5 linked regions of the Ovis aries genome follow. The main gene of each other region encodes a partner of the protein of the gene in region 3 in a complex. Links are inferred from orthologs where the notes say so. Each region holds a gene or a part of one and is shown on either strand. Other genes may lie near its edges. The genes, in order: NSMCE1, NSMCE3, NSMCE4A, SMC5 and NSMCE2.

Region 1 (2,341 bases), on a different chromosome or scaffold from region 3:
GGGAGAATCTGGAAGCAGTGCAGAGGGGAGGGGAGCTGGGCCAGCCTGGGTGGTGGCCGTGGGGCTGAGGGCCATCTGGCAGGTGGGCTGCACAGGATTTGGTGGTAGGCGTGATGCAGGAGACCCAGGGGAAGGTGGCACCCAGGCCAACTTCCTGGGTCAGGCCTGGGGCAGCTGCAGGCGAGGCAGAGCGCCCAGAGATGACACACAGCCACAGCCCCTCCCGCAGCCTCGTGCCGTGCAGGCCGGTGCACCTCGGGCCAGGGAGAGTGTGGGGCATGGGGCGGGCCCAAGGCTAAGGCTCCCACACATCCAGTAAGTCGGGCTGGCCAGTGTGAGTAGGACCAGTGACCAGAGCTAGGGACTGAAAGCAACGCTGTCCTGAGCAAGTGGCCTCGGGCCATGCTGGGCAGGAGGCGCTCGGCCAGCCGCAGCCCAGACCCGAGCCCAGGCCCCCAGCTCTCAGTGAGTGCCAAGAGAGGGGCGCGCCACCAGATGAGGCCGCAGGAGCTGCTGAGCAAGTTTATTCCAAACCTGTTAACAAGCAAACATAAAAGGTAAAAAGGTGATCCACGCGAACCGTGAAACTGATGCCTCTCTTCCAAATGGGGCAGGCGGTCACTCCCCCGAAGGCGGCGGCCTGGCTAGTGCTGCCGGGACCGTAAGGACCTTTTGTTTGATCTGGACATACCGGTCTCCCTCTCCTTCTCGGGGTCGAAGACTTCTGCACAGAAAAGCCAGAAGGCACTGTGAGTGGCGGGGCTGGTGGGCGCCCCCAGCCATAAGCCTGTGCCGAGGACTCTGTCCCACGGAACAGTTCACCCCCCAGGGAGGCAGGATGAGCCCGTCTGGGGATGCACTTTCACCTCCCCTCCAGAGACAGCTGCAGGGGAGCGTGTTTACTATACCAGACCCTCTCGCGTCTCAGGGTTTCTGCTGGGTTCCAGAGCACCTTGCGGAACCAACACCAGCAAGCAGGCCGGCCTCCAATGACCACAGAAGGTACTTCAGTACATGGGGCCCAGGGCCCGCACACACATGGAGCCCTTGTTGGGGTGCCCTGCCGCCCCTCGCCCCGGTGCCCCCTCAATGCTGGGCACGCACACTCTGGCATACACACAGCCCTGCCACAGGCCAGGAGGAAAGCAAGTGGCTGGGAGACACAGACCTGGCACCTCGTGGGGCCAGTAGTCGTTACAGTGGGGACAGTGCGGCTCCGAGTTGGACTGGAAGTACTTAGCCACACAAGGTAAGTGCATCCTGATTCCACACGTCTCACAGCTTTGACCCTGAAATGAGAAAGTGATGGCTTGAGAACACATCTCTGTGTTCATAACCCTTCAGCGGACTGCAAAGAAGACATCCCACTGGCTTGGTAATTTTGTCTTCCAGGCCCCAAACGGACAATGAGAACAACTCTGAGTCTTCAGTGCAGTGGGTTTTAGTAAAGCAGCTGACAAGTGAGTGCAAAGGGAAGAAGCTCAAGGCTCCAGAGGCCAGAGCAGGGCAGAGTGGGTGGCGGCCAGGACCTTGGAGCAGCAAGGCCGCCCCCAAGCCTGGACTCTGAGCATGAGTGGGCCCTGGAGGGGGCATGAAGACGACCACGGCTTTCAGAAGGCACTTCAGCAGCGTGGGGCAGAGCTTTAAACAGCCGTGTGCACACTCTGTTCTAGAAATTCCACTCTTGGGATTCCAACCCAAGAAACATAACCACTAGGTGCCCAAGGATGGATGTGCCAAGAGGCCCAGCCCAGTGCAACTGATAAATGCAAAAAGAGAATGAAAAAGGAGGAAACACAGGGGCTTCCCTGGGCCTCCTGTGCCTTCCAGCACAGGGGGTGCAGGCGCGATCCCTGGTCAGGGAGCTGACGTCCTACCTGCCTCACTGCCGAAAAACCGAACCATAAAAAAACAGAAGCAGCGCTGTAACAAACTCAATGAAGGCCTTAAAAAAGGCATCAGAAAAGTCTAAAGCAAAAAGGCAAAAGCAGAATCATCCAGCACTGGTCCAGCTGCTCTGCTCTGAAGCTGTACAATGTACTCAGAGGCCAACAGACGACAGGAATCTGTGGCTGAGACAGAAAGATGGTTGGCGCGTTGCTGCCACGATAATAGGAGACACAGACTTCTGAGAGCACGCGTTGTAGCCCTGGGGCGACAGTGGGGGTCCTGGGCAAAGGCACACAGCAGGGCAGGGGGCAAAAATAAAAAGAGCCTGGGACAGAGCAGAAGGAGCAGGGAGAAGCAGGCCTTCGTGCACTTGTCGTCAGATGCTTCTGAGGAGATGCCCGTGGTCAGAGGCCTGGGCCCTGAGTGAGCCCTGGGCCCTGAGTGAGCCCTG
Region 2 (3,308 bases), on a different chromosome or scaffold from region 3:
ACAGTAGAGTCGGACTAGAAGGACAGTCATGATTTACAAGAGAATGAAAGAAAAAGTTAAAAAGAAAAAACTTTAACAGTCCTAAGCCAAGGAAAAAAAGCCCAATTTAAACAAATTTGTGCCCATAACTTTACATAAACTTCCATACCTAATTATCACACTACCATACACAGTAACAGGCAGCATCAACCCGTTTTATAGGTAAGGAAAGGTCTGTGTACAACTTAATCTCCTTAAATTTGTAAGTGAGGCAGACTCTGAACCCACTAGTCTGATTCCCAAATAGGCATGGTTAATCACTAAGACTTTTATCAACTTTTCCATGACCCACAGAAATAATTTTACATCATGATCCAGTATGTCACACATATAAAAGTAAAGCAACTTCAACAAAACACTATTTACCTCAATGATATGTAACAAAAATTGTTTTCTTTTTTCCTTATGATGCTAGTTTTCAGTCATGAAATTTCTCATGAGTTAGGGTTAAAATAAATGCATAATGCTAAATTGCTTCAAAAATACAGTATTTATTATAACTATAGTAGCAAAAAAAATTGAACAAAATGGTCAGCCACACAGCATAGTAATTATCAATGTAAAAAGTTATTTGGAAAAACTACAATACACACATTGCTTAGAATGACTCAAAATGCTTACATGCATAGAAAACAGATTTTTTAAATAGCTGCGTTAAGGTAATAGGGGATATAGGCAATTACACTTTCGTTTTCAATTTACGAAGACTTTTCCTTTACAGAGTGGGGCAGTTCAAAGGCCGGACAAGGGCCAGTTCGCTTATATTTCCTTGGCAGTTCCAGATCCGGGTAGGAAGTTTTCCAATTCGCTTTATAAAGCTAACAAGATCTTTACACCAAAAAACACAGACACTGAAGCAAATCAAAACAAAACAAGTCACCCTCTAAATGAAATTTTAGAATCAAAACGACTTACAACATTACAAGAATTAAAGTTTGCAAACACTTCCTGGAACTACCACGCATTTAAACAATCAAGATGCTTCCTCCCACCTCCAGCCCTTCCCCCGGGGAGGGAGAGGGCCCTGGGGTGTGTCTCAGATTTCAAGAGACAGGAGCAGGGGTTGGGGCAGAGGCAGTGGCTGGACTCGGGCCCGCGGGCTGGGGTCTGGCCCTGGCCTCCTCGTCCGCCAAAGCCTCGCAGTACTGCGCCGGCCAGTCCTTGGGGTCCTGGTTGTGGACTTTAGCCACAAACTTGAGCACCTTCATCTTGCTGGTCTCCAGGTTGGTGCGCGGGCCCCACTGGAGCTCGTAGTCCACGGGGTCCGTGTGCGGGATGCGCCGGTAATCCAGGTATCGCTGCCGCACGAAGTCCTCGGTGATGAGCTTCTTGGGTTCCCCGAAGATGAGGTGCTTCTTGTCGGGGTGTACCCCGAGGCGCCGCAGGAAGTCCCAGACCTCGGTCTCCTTGATGGTATTGCCTTTCATGAAGATGAGCCCCAGCACGATCATGAGCAGCCCAGTGGTGGGCGTTCCCTGGTCTCCGCGCACCTCCGCGTCCTCTTCCACCGGTTCCAGCGTGTTGACCAGAATGTAGGTGTTGCTGCGCGGCTCCAGCTCCACCAGCCGGTACCCGAACACGTACTCCAGGCGCTCGGCCGCCCGCCGCAGCAGCTCTGGGAGCACATCCTTGTAGTCGCCGACCACATGCCGCAGGATGTCGGTGCGGCGGATAGGGATCTTCCTCTGGTCCTTGATCAACAAGAACTGCACCAGCTCCGCCACCTTCAGCTCCAGCTGCTTCTGCGAGCGCGGCCCCGGCGCGGGGGAGGCCTGGGCCCGCCGCTGCGACGCGGCGCCGCCCGGCCCGCGAGACGTGCTCGGGGCCTCCTCGCCGCCGCCACTCGGCTCCCGCTCGCCCTGGGAACTGGGGCGGCCCCGGCTCTTCGGCTTTTGCGACATGTCGCGGCGGCGGGACCCCGACCGCGCGGACTCCCCGTAACCGGCAGCGGTGGCAGGGATTGAAGGTCGGTTAGCCGTTAGTCCGTGGGGCTGTGGGAGGGCCCGGAGGAGAAGCGGTTGTGTCACAGAAGCTGCGCGCTTGCGTCACAGAAGCTGCGCGCTTGCGTCACGGAGGCTGCGCGTTGCGTCATCGAGGCCGCGCCGCGTCTAGAGGTCGCTCCGGTCTGGCCAGCGGCCGCGGACGGCGGCGGTAAGAAGCGGGTATTCCTTGCAGCCTTTCGGGCTGTATTATGATTAAGTGTCGTCGTTATTACCAAACCCTGCAGATGGCGAACAGGAAGCAGAGCTCCTGAGCGAGTGTGCGGCTTGGCTCAGGATCGTACCCAGGCCAGGGCTGTAGAAACTTGAGAGTCAAAAGCTCTGAAATCAGGGCTGTATGTAGGTGAAGGAAACTCCCAGGATGAATATGGGAGAAAAATACGGCGAAGAGCGTGGAAAGGAAGTAAGAGCAATTTCTTTCCACACGAAACGACGTAAAGACAATTAAAAGACCCCAAGGACTACTAGTTTGCCTTCGCCAGCCCCTTCTCACCATTTTCCACCAGTTACTTTCTCTAAAGCCCGAGTCTGTTTAGAAACAATGGTAAACAGCTTCGTCTCGCATACAGGGCTCTTTCTCCGTGTCTTTTCACCTTTCAGCCTTGATATTCTGTGTAATCAACTCTTTCAGCCGGACAGCTATGGCACAGTCACCCCAGAAAGCACGATAAGTGGAGGGTTTTTGCTTGATCCGGGGAGTTTTATCTATTGGAAGCACGTGCTCATGGAAAGATGGGCCTTGGGCTCACAACCACAGATCTGGCAGAAATGGCTAAGAGAATGCTACCAACAGAGAAGTCGGTCTCAAGAGACTACCATTTAATTTGGGGCATCTCTGACCAAGAATTGCTAACATGTGAGTCTCTAGCCTTAGAGATCAATGAGAAAGCGAAAACTCCAGGTTATCATCCGTCATAATCTGTGAAATATCTACTTTATATTTTTAATTGTGCTGCTTTAGTAACCAACGTGAGTCATTTCATTAACTCAAACCATCTGTAATCTGCTGCCATTACATCCACAGATCCTAGCAAATGGGTTCCTTTTCTATTTACTGACTTGCAAAGGCGAAACTTAATTTCCCTCTTTGTCTTCTTAAAGCTACCAGAAAGTGGGTAAACTGTTCAAAGAACCAAATCAAGTTGAGTTCCTCTTTAATGCAAATATATTCAAAGGAAAGCAATTCACAACACATTATTTGAATAATAACATCAAAACACAACCTTATTAAAATTTCATTAAATGTTGGTAGCATAAAATTTTGTTGTA
Region 3 (4,258 bases):
TCGGGGAATGGGGATGAGATTACCATGATTCATTTCAGGGCATACCTTTCCTGAAATCCAGGTTAAGCAGGAGTGAGGTGTGATATATGCTGCAAAGAATAGTGCTTATCTCAAACTGAGTACATCTGATTCACAACATGGTATTTTTGTAGACTTGGGTAGTAACTCAACTGACATTGTTCCTTTGAAAAAAAATGGGTTCTCAGCACCGAAAAGAACTCTTGAGAAATATTTGCAATACAATCCAAAATACGTGGGAGATTCATATACTTATCTTTAAAACTGTATTAATATAATTTCATAGTTTTTAGACCCATTTAAAAGTATTTTAGAATCTTTCAGCTTGAGGACCAAATATGAACATAAACTGTCAAGGTGTAGATATTTAAAAACGATGGTTAACAGAGTTTACTCCAAGAAAATCAAGGAACCTTGTCAATTTTCTGTTTGTTCAGTTGTTCTGTCCTCAAAAAAGGTGGGATTGGGACTTCCCTGGTGGTCCAGTGGTTAAGAATTCATCTGAGGATCCCACATACCACAGGGCAACCAAACCCCTGTGCCACAACTGAGCCCAGAAGTCTATAACCCATGCTCCAAAACAAGAGAAGCCAAGGCAATGAGAAGCCCAAGAACCACAACTAGTGATAAGCCCCCCACTGGTGGCAACTAGAGAAAGCCTGCCTGCCCAGCAACAAGGGCCCAGTGCAGTCAAAAATAAACTCAGACAGTAAAGAATCTGTCTGCAATGCAGGAATTGAGGGTTTCCACTTCAGTATTCTTCAGTATACTGAAGAACCCACTTCAGTATTCTTGCCTGGAGAATTCTATAGACAGAGGAGCCTGGTAGGCTACTGGAGTCCATGAAGTCCCAAACAGTTAGACAGGACTGAGCGATTAACACTTTTCACTTTCAAAAAAAAAAAAAAAGTGGAGGGGGGATTACCAGCTGTTCATAAACTCCACTGGGTCCCTGCCATAATGGCTCAAGGAACTAAGGTCACAGATAGTGAGTGGCAGAATCTCATCTTTCGTCTCCATGTCCAGCGCGCATCCTGCTTAACTGCAGGAGACTCGATCAACAAACACGGTCTGCGTGCCCATTACCTGGCAATGTCCCAGATATTTCTGTCTGGAGCTTGGAATGAATTTCCAGCTGCAAGAATGCTAAGTATTTGTTTTAAGGGTGTGGCTGGGTCCGGGAGAGCCAGGGAGACCCCGGGGAAGGTGAAAGTCTAATAAGGTGGGCACGGAGGACCAGACCACGAAGATTATAAGCATCTAAAGTGGGATCACAGGGTATCCAACGTCAGGGGCGTGCAAAGTCAGGGGCCTGAGCCGCCCGGTGCCCGCCTGGCGGCGCTGTAGCCACTGCGCCCCCGGCCTCGGCCCCTGCCGCCGGCCTCCAGCCACAGGCGTCGCTGTGCGCTCGCGCCGGCAAGGGAGCCGCGTTCCGGGGGGAGCAGGCGCTTAGGGTGTGCAGGGCTTTCAGTTTCTGGCGCGAACTTCCGCCGTTCCAAAGTTGCAGGGAGGCTTGGCGCTATGTCCGGGGACAGCAGCGGCCGCCGGCCCGAGGGCCGGGGCCGGGGCCGCGACCCGCACCGGGATCGCACCCGCTCCCGCTCCCGCTCGCGGTCCCCGCTGTCGCCCGGGTCCCGCCGCGGCGCCGCGCCCGAGCGCAGGGAGGCCCCAGAGCGCCCGGGCTTGGAGGATACCGAACCGTCGGATTCCGGGGACGAGATGATAGACCCGGCGAGCCTGGAGGAGGAGACCGACCCCAGTCTGTGCCGCCAGATCCGCCATCAGTACCGGGCGCTTATCAACTCGGTCCAACGTAAGGCAGGGTAGCGAGGCGGGAACGGCGCGCAGGCCCTGCGCGGCCCAGCTGGTTCGTGGAGCCCGGGACCAGCCCCGCGCCGCCCGGCCGTTCCCGGGTTCGGGGTTTACGAGGCACTCGCGCATCTGTCGTGCGGATCGCAAGGCACGACCTTGGCGGGGGCGCGCGAGTCCCCCAGGGGCGGGACCGCCCGAGGCCGGGCGCGGTCTGGAAGCCAGGGAGAGGAGGCACGAGGAGCCGGGGCGCATTTTCTTAGATCCAGCGGTTCCCCGCCGGCAGTCGCCCGCCCGAGGCAGCTGCCAGAAATGCAAATTCCCCAGTGTACTGGACCTACCTATTCTGAAACTCTGGGTGGCCCGGCTGTGCAAGCTGTGGCTTGCAGAGTTAGAGAGTCCTTCTGATTAAGAGCGCTCTTTAGAGGCTGCAGAAGGCGTGGAAGCCCATGGGTGAAGGTTAGGGGGAGCGAAGTGGGTCCCCTTTTCAAGTTCATTCTGCTAATGGGGTAGTCATCTTTTCTGTTGTCAGGCCGTTTTGGTTAAAGAAATACAGCTGAAAATAATTCCACCGGGGGGTGGGGGTGGGGGCTGGGACTTGGCTCTCCAGCTGCTGCTAGTTACTCTGTCAATGACTTGTTAGCCTATGATGAGCACCTTTCCCAAAGTTTGTATTTTTTTTAAAATAGAAAACCGGGAGGATATATTGAATGCCAGCGACAAGTTAACAGAGGTCCTTGAAGAGGCCAACACTCTCTTTAATGAAGGTAATTCTTTATTTTATGGAAGGAAGCTTTCTGTGATCATATATTTTAGGGTAATTTTAATTAGTTTTGCATGAGAACCGAATGCTTGACACCAAACAACCCCCATATTTATAAGAGTGCTTTACTAGTTTTGGAACCTTTTCCCTTGTAGCACCACTTCTATGATTGTGCACTTATCAGTCCCTAAGCACTGCTTCCCTGATGGATCAGGGGTTAAAGCGTCTGCCCACAATGCGGGAGACCTGGGTTCGATCCCTGGGTCAGGGACGATCCCCTGGAGAAGGAAATGGTTAACCCGCTCCAGTATTCTTGCCTAGAGAATCCCATGGACGGAGGAGCCTGGTGGGCGAGTTGGACACAATTTCACTTTCACTTTCACAAGTACAAACAAGTAGTAAGGGCTTTATTTGGGGGTGGGGAGCAGCAGCCAGTTTTAACAGGCGCTCCAGGAGATTCTGTTGCTTGTTCAAGTTTGAGAACTTTCTGTGTATTAAATTTCTATTGTATTGACTGCTGAGAATTTTTATGTCTTATCTTTCTACTCTATTGACTACCTAGGATGCATTGGATGTATTAAAGAAAGAACTGAGCTGGCTTCTGACATCCTGTTTCTTTTCCTGCCTTCCTCCCGACCTCCCGTCCCTAAGCTCCTTGTTTTGGTCCACCTAATATAACCCAGTGGGGATGGCCAGGTCTACAGGTGGCCCTGTTGGTCTCCAGTGAGGGGAGGGGCCTGAGAAAGAGAAGAATCTCAGCACTGAACTCTAGCATTGTTGGGGGCGAAGGGGCCTCTGAAATAAAAGCTTGGTTTGAATGAAAAGCAGCAGCAATGTTAGTGCTAAGAGGGGTCTCTGTGTTTGAAGACAGGACAGGTCAGGCAGCCCCTGATGGTGTGGGCACTGGGTCACAGAGCCCGGGGACAAGTCCTCAGACTACTTTTCCCTCCTGGCCTTTCTCTAAATTCTATGGGAGCAGAAGAGGAGAGTGCAGACCCATGCAGGTGAAGAAGTCAACAGAGCTGGCCGCTGCCTGGACACCACCACTCCACATGTTCTCTGAGAACCAGAACATTTCTTTCTTTTCACTTGGTGCAACCCCTCCTCCACTCTCTCTAGCTTTTTCTTCTCTTCTGAGCTGGGAACCCCCCTGCCCAGGCTGTCTCTTCAGGGTTGCTCTTGATCCCTGGTCCCCTATTATTCACCCACTGCTGAAAAGTTGTTGATTAACAGATCATTTCCTGCTTGGCCAATTCTACTATGCTAGCTGGGTCGCCTTTTTAAGGCACAGTTACTCAACCAGGCCCTAGGAGACAGTCAGCCAACAAAGGATTCTGTATCCTCCATATATACAGACTGCATGTTCTGCAGCTCCTAGAGATGTGAATCCATCCGTGGGAGATGGGCATTTTCCTCACAGCTTTCGTGGCAGTGACGGGCTGGCGGCGGGGAGGGGAGGTCAGGTCTGCAGCAGCCCAGGAACTAGTCCCTAGCTTTTGCCTCTTGTCTCTCATTCATTGTCACGGTCACAGTAATTCTCCTGAAATAAAACTGGGGAGAAAATTATGCATATGAATACAAAACTTGGAGTCAGTGGGTTCATCAGCCTGAGGAATGTTTGGGCAATCAAAAATTCAAGTGAAATGGCCTTGAGGAGCAAGCTAGGCA
Region 4 (3,519 bases), on a different chromosome or scaffold from region 3:
GATCCAAATTACTTTGTTTGTGCCCTTTGGAAACTTACTTCTCCTTTTCACAAGCCCATCCATACATTTAAACAGCTGTATCTTACACTATTTCTAAGGCTGAAGGTGTTACACACTTGGAGAATTCTCTAGGTATATAGCAAACTACTTCTGTAAAATGGAGATCTTCCCTCAGTGTCTCTATCTGCCAACTTATTATTTATATTCAAGCACAACACATTTGCCATACCCAAGGAATTAAGATGAAGAAATTGATTTGTTACCAAAAGCGATTCATGGTTTTGAATTTTGTTAAAAGTACCTATGTTAACTTACCTTATCTGCCCGTCCCATGAAAGCAGGTTTGCCTGCTAATCCAAGGCAAATGGCACACACAATGCTGGACTTCCCTGTTCCATTAGCTCCAATAATCATATTCAAGTGGGGCCCAGGAGATACTTCACAGACATCATATGTCCTAAATTATAAAGAGGTGAGATTACTAAGTAGAAACAAGAAGTGAAGAATATTTTCCTACTAAAGCACTTTTTCTTGCTTTACCCGTATCACTAACTATAGGTTTCCTCAAATTCTTTAAAAAGCAACGAACCTTATAAATTTTAATGTAACATTAGTTTATAGGTTGTTAATAATTTACAGGGAAAAAAAAGTCTGTCAGTGAGAGAAATTAAAAAGTGACAAAGTATATCTAAAATTAGAACATTCATGGGAAAATAAAACTTCACATAATTTTTCTCAAATATTAAGTCTGCTGAATAGAGTGAAGTTTGATATAATTTATTCTTTAGTAATTCTAATACATGAGAAAGTCCATCAAAGCTACTGTACAAATGGTTTTTAAACAAATTATATGTAAGTAAAGTGACAGCTCATTCTAAATTTGTGTATTTTACGTTTATATTTCTCTTGAATTAAAATGCTTACTAGAAACTTATCATAGTCAATCGAATTACTTTTATTATAATTAGAAAACTGAAGATATATCAACTCAATAGTTTAATTTATTAATTTTTTAAAATAACATGAATTTCCTTTAATATGCTGCCAGACATTCACCAAAGGATCTATTTGTAGCACAAATTAAATTTTATTCCTATGAGAGGAAACAAGAGTGCATCATCACCAAGCACGTCCGTAACTTTCCCTCATACTAGAAAGCAGCATGCTGTCCTGCTCTCTACCTGCAACAGGAGCATCTAACCCATATTAGTCTTCAGGGAGAGCTATGGCAAGATGTGAAGGAAACTGACTCAGTATCTTTGTACCATGTCCTTGAATATCTGGAACTGGACCCCATAAGTAATGTCCCGTGCCCACAGTTTCAGTTGGCTACCAACTAATTCCCCAAGAGTAAAAGCTTAGCCTATTACTAACTTGCTAAGTATTCAAATAACTTAACCAAGCACACTTCAACTTTAATACTCCAAGAAATTTACAATTCTGAAATTCCAAGTCGTAATAAAATAAATACAGGTGGTAAATAAAAGTATTTTCCTGGCAGGTTTCCAACCCCACTTCTCCGCAGAGCATCCACCTGTCTTTTCAGAAGCTTTATTCTAGTAACAGCAGAGTCTTGAAACAACCCTTTACAACACTGAAAATAAAACTAGTTTGGGAATTTCAGACATCTGGAAAATTATCTGACTTGGAGCTTCTTAATCAACACATGCAGCTCCATTCTTTTAATATTTGATTTTCCTGCTGTGAACTGTCTTACTAAAACAGTGATGCAACTGGTATTTAAGCAAACAAATACAGCAGAAAAAAGCATGAAAACTTCTGACCTATATTGTTACACACAAACACTATAAACACGAAAAGCTGCCAAAAACTAAATAAAGCCTCTGCATTTAAAAGAGAGAGAAAAAAAGAAACCATTCTGACCCTACAATATGTTTATTGGAAATTCCCTTTTGTGAGTTCCCTTTTCTCTGACCTCCCCCTGAAAAAGCTAATTTCAGAGGCCACCCTCTTCTGAGTTTACATACTTTATCTAGTACCTCATATATTCTCCATGGCCTCAGGTAACATCTACATACTGAAAGTCGGTTCAGATGACCTACAGATGCAATTCCCACCTCAAGAACTCTATTTGGATGTCCTACAACGGTCACTTCAAACTTAACATATTCAAAACTATTACACTGGTGCAAAAGTAACTGTGGTTTTGCATTGTTGAACTTTGCTGTTTGATATTGGAATAGATTTTCAAATAAATGTGGTTACGTTATACATCATTTTAATGCACATTTTTTTTTTTTGCTAATGACTTATCACTCGCTGTTTATTTTATATTTATTTTAGACCAGGGAAATGATGTTAAACAAAATGCAAATTCGAGCAATTTTCTTATTCGAGTTCAAAATGGGTTCAAAATTGGTTGTAAGGCAGCAGAGATAACTCACAACATCAACCACGCATTTGGCCCAGGAACTGCTAGTGAAACTGCACTGGCTCAAGAAGTTTTGCAAAGGAGATGAGAGCCTTGAGGATGAGCAGCACAGTGGCCGGCAACTGGAAGTTGACAACAACCAATTGAGAGGATTATCAATGCTGAACCTCTTACAACTACACCAGAAGTTGCCCAAGAACTCAATGTCAATCCTTCTGTGGTCATTCGGCATTTGAAGCAAATTGGAAAGGTGGAAAAGCTCGTTAAGTGGGTACCTCATGAATAGACCAAGAAAAAAAAACCCGTTGTTTTGAAGTGTCATCTTCTCTTATTGTATGCAACAACAAACCATGTGATGAAAAGTGGATTTTATATGACAACCGGTGATAACCTGCTCAGTGGTTGGACCACGAAGAAACTCCAAAGCACTTTCCAAAGCCAAAATTGCACCAAAAAAAGGTCATGGTCACTCTCTTGGTGGTCTGCTGCCCATCTGATATACTACAGCTTTCTGAATCCTGGTGCAGAGAAACCATTACATCTGAGAAGTATGCTCAGCAAATCGATGAGATGCACAGAAATTGCAATGCCTGCAGCCAGCACTGGCCAACAGAATGGGCCCAATTCATCTCCATAACGCCTGACCATATATCACAAAACCAACTCTTCAAAAGTTGAAAGAACTGGGCTAAGAAGTTTTGCCTCAACAGCCATATAACCTATCACCAACCAATTACCACTTTTTCAAGCATCTCAACAACGTTTTGCAGGCAAATCACTTCCACAACCAGCATGAGACAGAAAACACTTTCCAAGAGTTCGTCGAATCCTGAAGGACAGATTTTTATGCTACAAGAATAAACAAACTTATTTCTTGTTGGCAAAAATGTGTTGACTGTAATGGTTGCTATTTTGATCAATAAAGATGTGTTTGAGCCTAGCTATAATAATTTAAAATTCACAGTCCAAAACCGGAATTACTTTTTCATAAACCTTTAAAAAAAAACATCTAAAACCACTCTTGTAGTCTCTTAGTAAAGGATATAATTATTCATTCCTCTGCCCACAGCAGAAACCTAGGCATCATCTTTGACTCTTTTTGTCTCCTCACCTCTGTTCACGCTACC
Region 5 (3,519 bases), on a different chromosome or scaffold from region 3:
CCTTGAGAAATTAGGTCAGACCTGATTTTGGTCTCCTTGATTTCCCCCCACCTAAGAGCTTCCTGGTATTTCTTTCATTAAGTCCTTATTTGGTAAAATGTAATCCCATGCAATTTATGTTCTTAAATAATAAAGTTGGTGAAAATGTGGGGTGATTTTCATTGAAAGAACTCTTCTACTATGTGCAGACCATAAAAATGCTTTAGCCTTTGTCAAAATAGGCAACTAGATTCAAGTATCTCTCCCTGGCTTGTCTTTTCCAACCTTAAAAAAAAAAAATCCACAAAATTACTATTGTAATTCCTTGCCTTCAGAACATCTCTCAAAATAAACAGATTCACCAGCTTCTTTATAAATTATAATCTCTTTGACTTGGCTCCACAAAACTGTACAAGCCTGGTGCTAACCAGCATCCTCACTAGCATACATCTAAAGAAATGAAATCCAGGAGGCATGGCACCAGTTTAACTGATAGCACTAACAATGATGCACTAAAAATCACATTTTTGCAAGTAAAGTATATACATCTTACACAGTATCTTACAAGAATATTAATTAATATTTTGCTTGTTTTACCATTTGATATTTTAAAATTTTTAAAAAGATTACTTTAGGAGACATAATAAGGAAAGTTCTCTTAATTCTAGTGTTACCATATGTAAGGAAACCATATATAAGGAAGTTTTCTTAAATATAAATTTACTCTGTAGTAAGGTTTAACTATCCAGACAAACGATGTATACTGCTGGCCTGGGGAAACCTCTTCCTCATTCCTCATTTTAGAGAGAATTAAAGAAATGATACTATAATTCCAATAATTATAATTCTGTTGAATATACACTGTTAATTAGAAGGCACTTCCACATGAGTATATGATTCTAAAGATCTTTATAGTTTTCTCTTATGGAATAATAACTTTGTAAACAATAACAAAGTGGGAAGAAATTTCTGTTTTTTGAATATTTGTCCTTTAATCTGCATTATAAAATATCTAAAAAAAAAAATCAAGAATTATGATCAGATGCTAAATCTGCCATAATTTGTGATTATTGTCTCCAAGAAGAAAAATAAAATAATTTGGTTATTTTGACCAAAGCAAGAACTTCAATTTAATAGCATCTAGAGCAGAAAGGCACTAGCAAATTATTACCTATTTGGAGAATTGTTATCCATCTGGGGAAACAGTACAGATTAATTTAGAGAGATTTGGTAGCTATGCTGTTCAATGAAGAACAACAACCACCAAAAAAACACATAGATTTGAAATGTGGGGAAAAATGCTTACTATTTAAATTTACAGTAAAAGCAAAAGTCTCATCATGATTGCAAAACATTCCAAATTGTGAAACTTAAGTTATTTGTAAAACAGACAAAAGTAAAGCTGCTTCCTCAGTTATTTTTTGAGATCTCATCATCAATTTAAAGAAAATGCTTATATTTAAAAGAAGGCCTATTTAAAAATAGGAATCCTGCTAAATACAAATATGAACATGAAGTAAATTTATCTTATATCATGTATTCCTGTCCCATGTATATGCAAATGAAGATGATATGAAACCAAAGTTAAAAAAAAATTACTTTCTTCAATTCTCTAAGGAATAAAAGAGCCTCAAACCTAAAGAACAGCAACTGATGCTAGTGTAAAAACAATAAAATTACGTAAAATTGGTATGTAGATTATATGGGGAAAAAGGGAGAAAAAAAAAAAGGACATGTACTTCACTGTATAAAAAACATATTTCTGCCAACACTGTCTTCAAGATTTTGGGGGTACAATTAATAATTTTTCTACTCTCATTTTTAAATTAAAATTATGTGCATTAAAAACCTGAGTATAATAAAGTTTCCTAGGAAGGCAAAAAAAGAAAAAGAAAATCACGTGGAATTTATACTACCACCCAGATAGAACAGATCAAGAGGATTTTGGTCTCATATTTGAGAAAACATTGCTCCTACTACTGTAAAACAGCAAAACTAGAATCAAGATACAGTTATTTTAAAGCTTGGCACAGCAGTTTAAAGTTTGAAAACTACCTTTGCTATTTAGTTTTATTTTTCCAATTTCTTTCCCAGCACTGGGACAATAACAGTGTAACTTTCTCTACCTGCTGGGGAATTTTCTTAGCACTTTGTGGAAACCGTTGGCTTTCAGAAATGGATAGGCTGATTTGAACCAAAAGTTAGACAAAATACAGATTTGCAACAACAATAAAAAAGCGATTCAGAAAGAAGATCAAGCCAAGCAGATAAGCAAACTCTATAAAAATCAGTTTTCTGGGACTGTTCATCCAGTCACTTCCCTAATTTAAAAAAGCCAAACCAAAGCAAAGCATGCTGACTTACATTGCTTCTTTAGTTCTTTCAGCTGTTGTTTAAATTGGACAAATTTTTCATTATTTTGAAAGTCTGCATCGGAATTCTTATTCTGTAAAGCCAAAAACTTCTTCTCCACTAATAATTTTAGATCAGGTATTTTCTCTGAACGTTCTTCTTTTACCTGAGGAGGACAATAAAATTACTGTAGTTAAATGTTAACAATGACACAGTCTTGTAACAGTATTTTTCTTGCATTTTATTCAAATATAAATATAGAGGTAGAAAACAGAATTTCCTTCAACAGAGAACCAGGGAGACAGGGCCCTGTTTCAGAAACAGACTGCTAGTGGACAGCTGAGAAATTCATTTACCCCATCTACCCTTTGGTTTCTTACACTATCCCTTCGTTGCCCTGCTAACTTGCCGTGTCCAGACAACTACCACGCAACTGTGTCCCCCACCTTCACCCGAAACTGAGCATGACGGTGCTTCTTCTCATTTAGGTCTATGCGGTCCCTCCTCCTTCTTCTCAAGTCTGTCCTGCTTTCTCTCCAGCACTCCTCTTCTCTGGTCCTAGGCCCCAGCAGGTGAGGCTAGCTCCTCCTTCACAAAATGAGTGGAGACTTTAGCCCCGAACTTCCACCATCTGCAGTCACCTGGAGTAAGTGTCCCTAGTCTGTTCAAAGCTAACCTCTCAATCTTTATTCTCCCCTCCCCCAATATTTTATTATAAAATTTTCAAACATGCAAAAATGTTGAAAGCATCATATTTTACCATTCAAAGTCAAAAGATTATCTGTAAGTCCTCTGCTTTGATTATCTTCTGTCATGGAGGAAAGAATTAGATAATCTTCTTTTGTTTAATTGCTATGCATGCGCCAAATCAAAACTGAAAATTAAGCATGAAATCAAAATACCTAAATCTATATATAAAGTACGGAGTATAGGAACTGTCTTCTCATTGCACTGATGAAGCTCAACCAGTGCTGGATCCATCATCAAAGAGAGGTGTGAAAAACGTGGCGAGGCTTTAGCGACAAGTCATATGTAATTGAAAATTTAAAATAAGTCCTATCAGGCTAAAGAAACAATAAAGCCCAGTTTGGAAACAAGAAGGTACAAAGACAATCAACCGAATAATGCCTAATATCACAAAAATAACAGTACTTCTATCCAGTGCATGGTTATTCTCTATCTCTACAC

Evidence for each region.
Region 1: NSMCE4A (region 3) and NSMCE1 share a complex: the UniProt entries of both Homo sapiens proteins name them as parts of the SMC5-SMC6 complex. The link is inferred for Ovis aries from reciprocal best matches to the Homo sapiens genes NSMCE4A and NSMCE1.
Region 2: NSMCE4A (region 3) and NSMCE3 share a complex: the UniProt entries of both Homo sapiens proteins name them as parts of the SMC5-SMC6 complex. The link is inferred for Ovis aries from reciprocal best matches to the Homo sapiens genes NSMCE4A and NSMCE3.
Region 4: NSMCE4A (region 3) and SMC5 share a complex: the UniProt entries of both Homo sapiens proteins name them as parts of the SMC5-SMC6 complex. The link is inferred for Ovis aries from reciprocal best matches to the Homo sapiens genes NSMCE4A and SMC5.
Region 5: NSMCE4A (region 3) and NSMCE2 share a complex: the UniProt entries of both Homo sapiens proteins name them as parts of the SMC5-SMC6 complex. The link is inferred for Ovis aries from reciprocal best matches to the Homo sapiens genes NSMCE4A and NSMCE2.

Annotation. Positions count from the first base shown.
Region 1 is NC_056077.1:25,321,086-25,323,426, forward strand, and holds the end of NSMCE1 (non-structural maintenance of chromosomes element 1 homolog), read right to left. Parts: intron 1,290-2,341; coding exon 1,008-1,289; 3' UTR 985-1,007; coding exon of another isoform or gene 863-984; 3' UTR 725-862; coding exon of another isoform or gene 645-724; 3' UTR 509-644; downstream 1-508. UniProt on the Homo sapiens protein: RING-type zinc finger-containing E3 ubiquitin ligase that assembles with melanoma antigen protein (MAGE) to catalyze the direct transfer of ubiquitin from E2 ubiquitin-conjugating enzyme to a specific substrate.
Region 2 is NC_056071.1:25,979,603-25,982,910, forward strand, and holds NSMCE3 (non-structural maintenance of chromosomes element 3 homolog), read right to left. Parts: upstream 2,065-3,308; 5' UTR 1,941-2,064; coding exon 1,083-1,940; 3' UTR 511-1,082; downstream 1-510. UniProt on the Homo sapiens protein: Component of the SMC5-SMC6 complex, a complex involved in repair of DNA double-strand breaks by homologous recombination. The complex may promote sister chromatid homologous recombination by recruiting the SMC1-SMC3 cohesin complex to double-strand breaks.
Region 3 is NC_056075.1:41,386,845-41,391,102, reverse strand, and holds the start of NSMCE4A (non-structural maintenance of chromosomes element 4 homolog A), read left to right. Parts: upstream 1-1,447; 5' UTR 1,448-1,539; coding exon 1,540-1,831; intron 1,832-2,010; exon of another isoform or gene 2,011-2,276; coding exon of another isoform or gene 2,277-2,286; intron 2,287-2,516; coding exon 2,517-2,594; exon of another isoform or gene 2,595-4,141; intron 4,142-4,258. UniProt on the Homo sapiens protein: Component of the SMC5-SMC6 complex, a complex involved in DNA double-strand breaks by homologous recombination. The complex may promote sister chromatid homologous recombination by recruiting the SMC1-SMC3 cohesin complex to double-strand breaks.
Region 4 is NC_056055.1:66,422,229-66,425,747, forward strand, and holds part of SMC5 (structural maintenance of chromosomes protein 5), read right to left. Parts: intron 458-3,519; coding exon 316-457; intron 1-315. UniProt on the Homo sapiens protein: Core component of the SMC5-SMC6 complex, a complex involved in repair of DNA double-strand breaks by homologous recombination.
Region 5 is NC_056062.1:28,029,707-28,033,225, forward strand, and holds part of NSMCE2 (E3 SUMO-protein ligase NSE2), read right to left. Parts: intron 2,498-3,519; coding exon 2,344-2,497; intron 1-2,343. UniProt on the Homo sapiens protein: E3 SUMO-protein ligase component of the SMC5-SMC6 complex, a complex involved in DNA double-strand break repair by homologous recombination. Is not be required for the stability of the complex.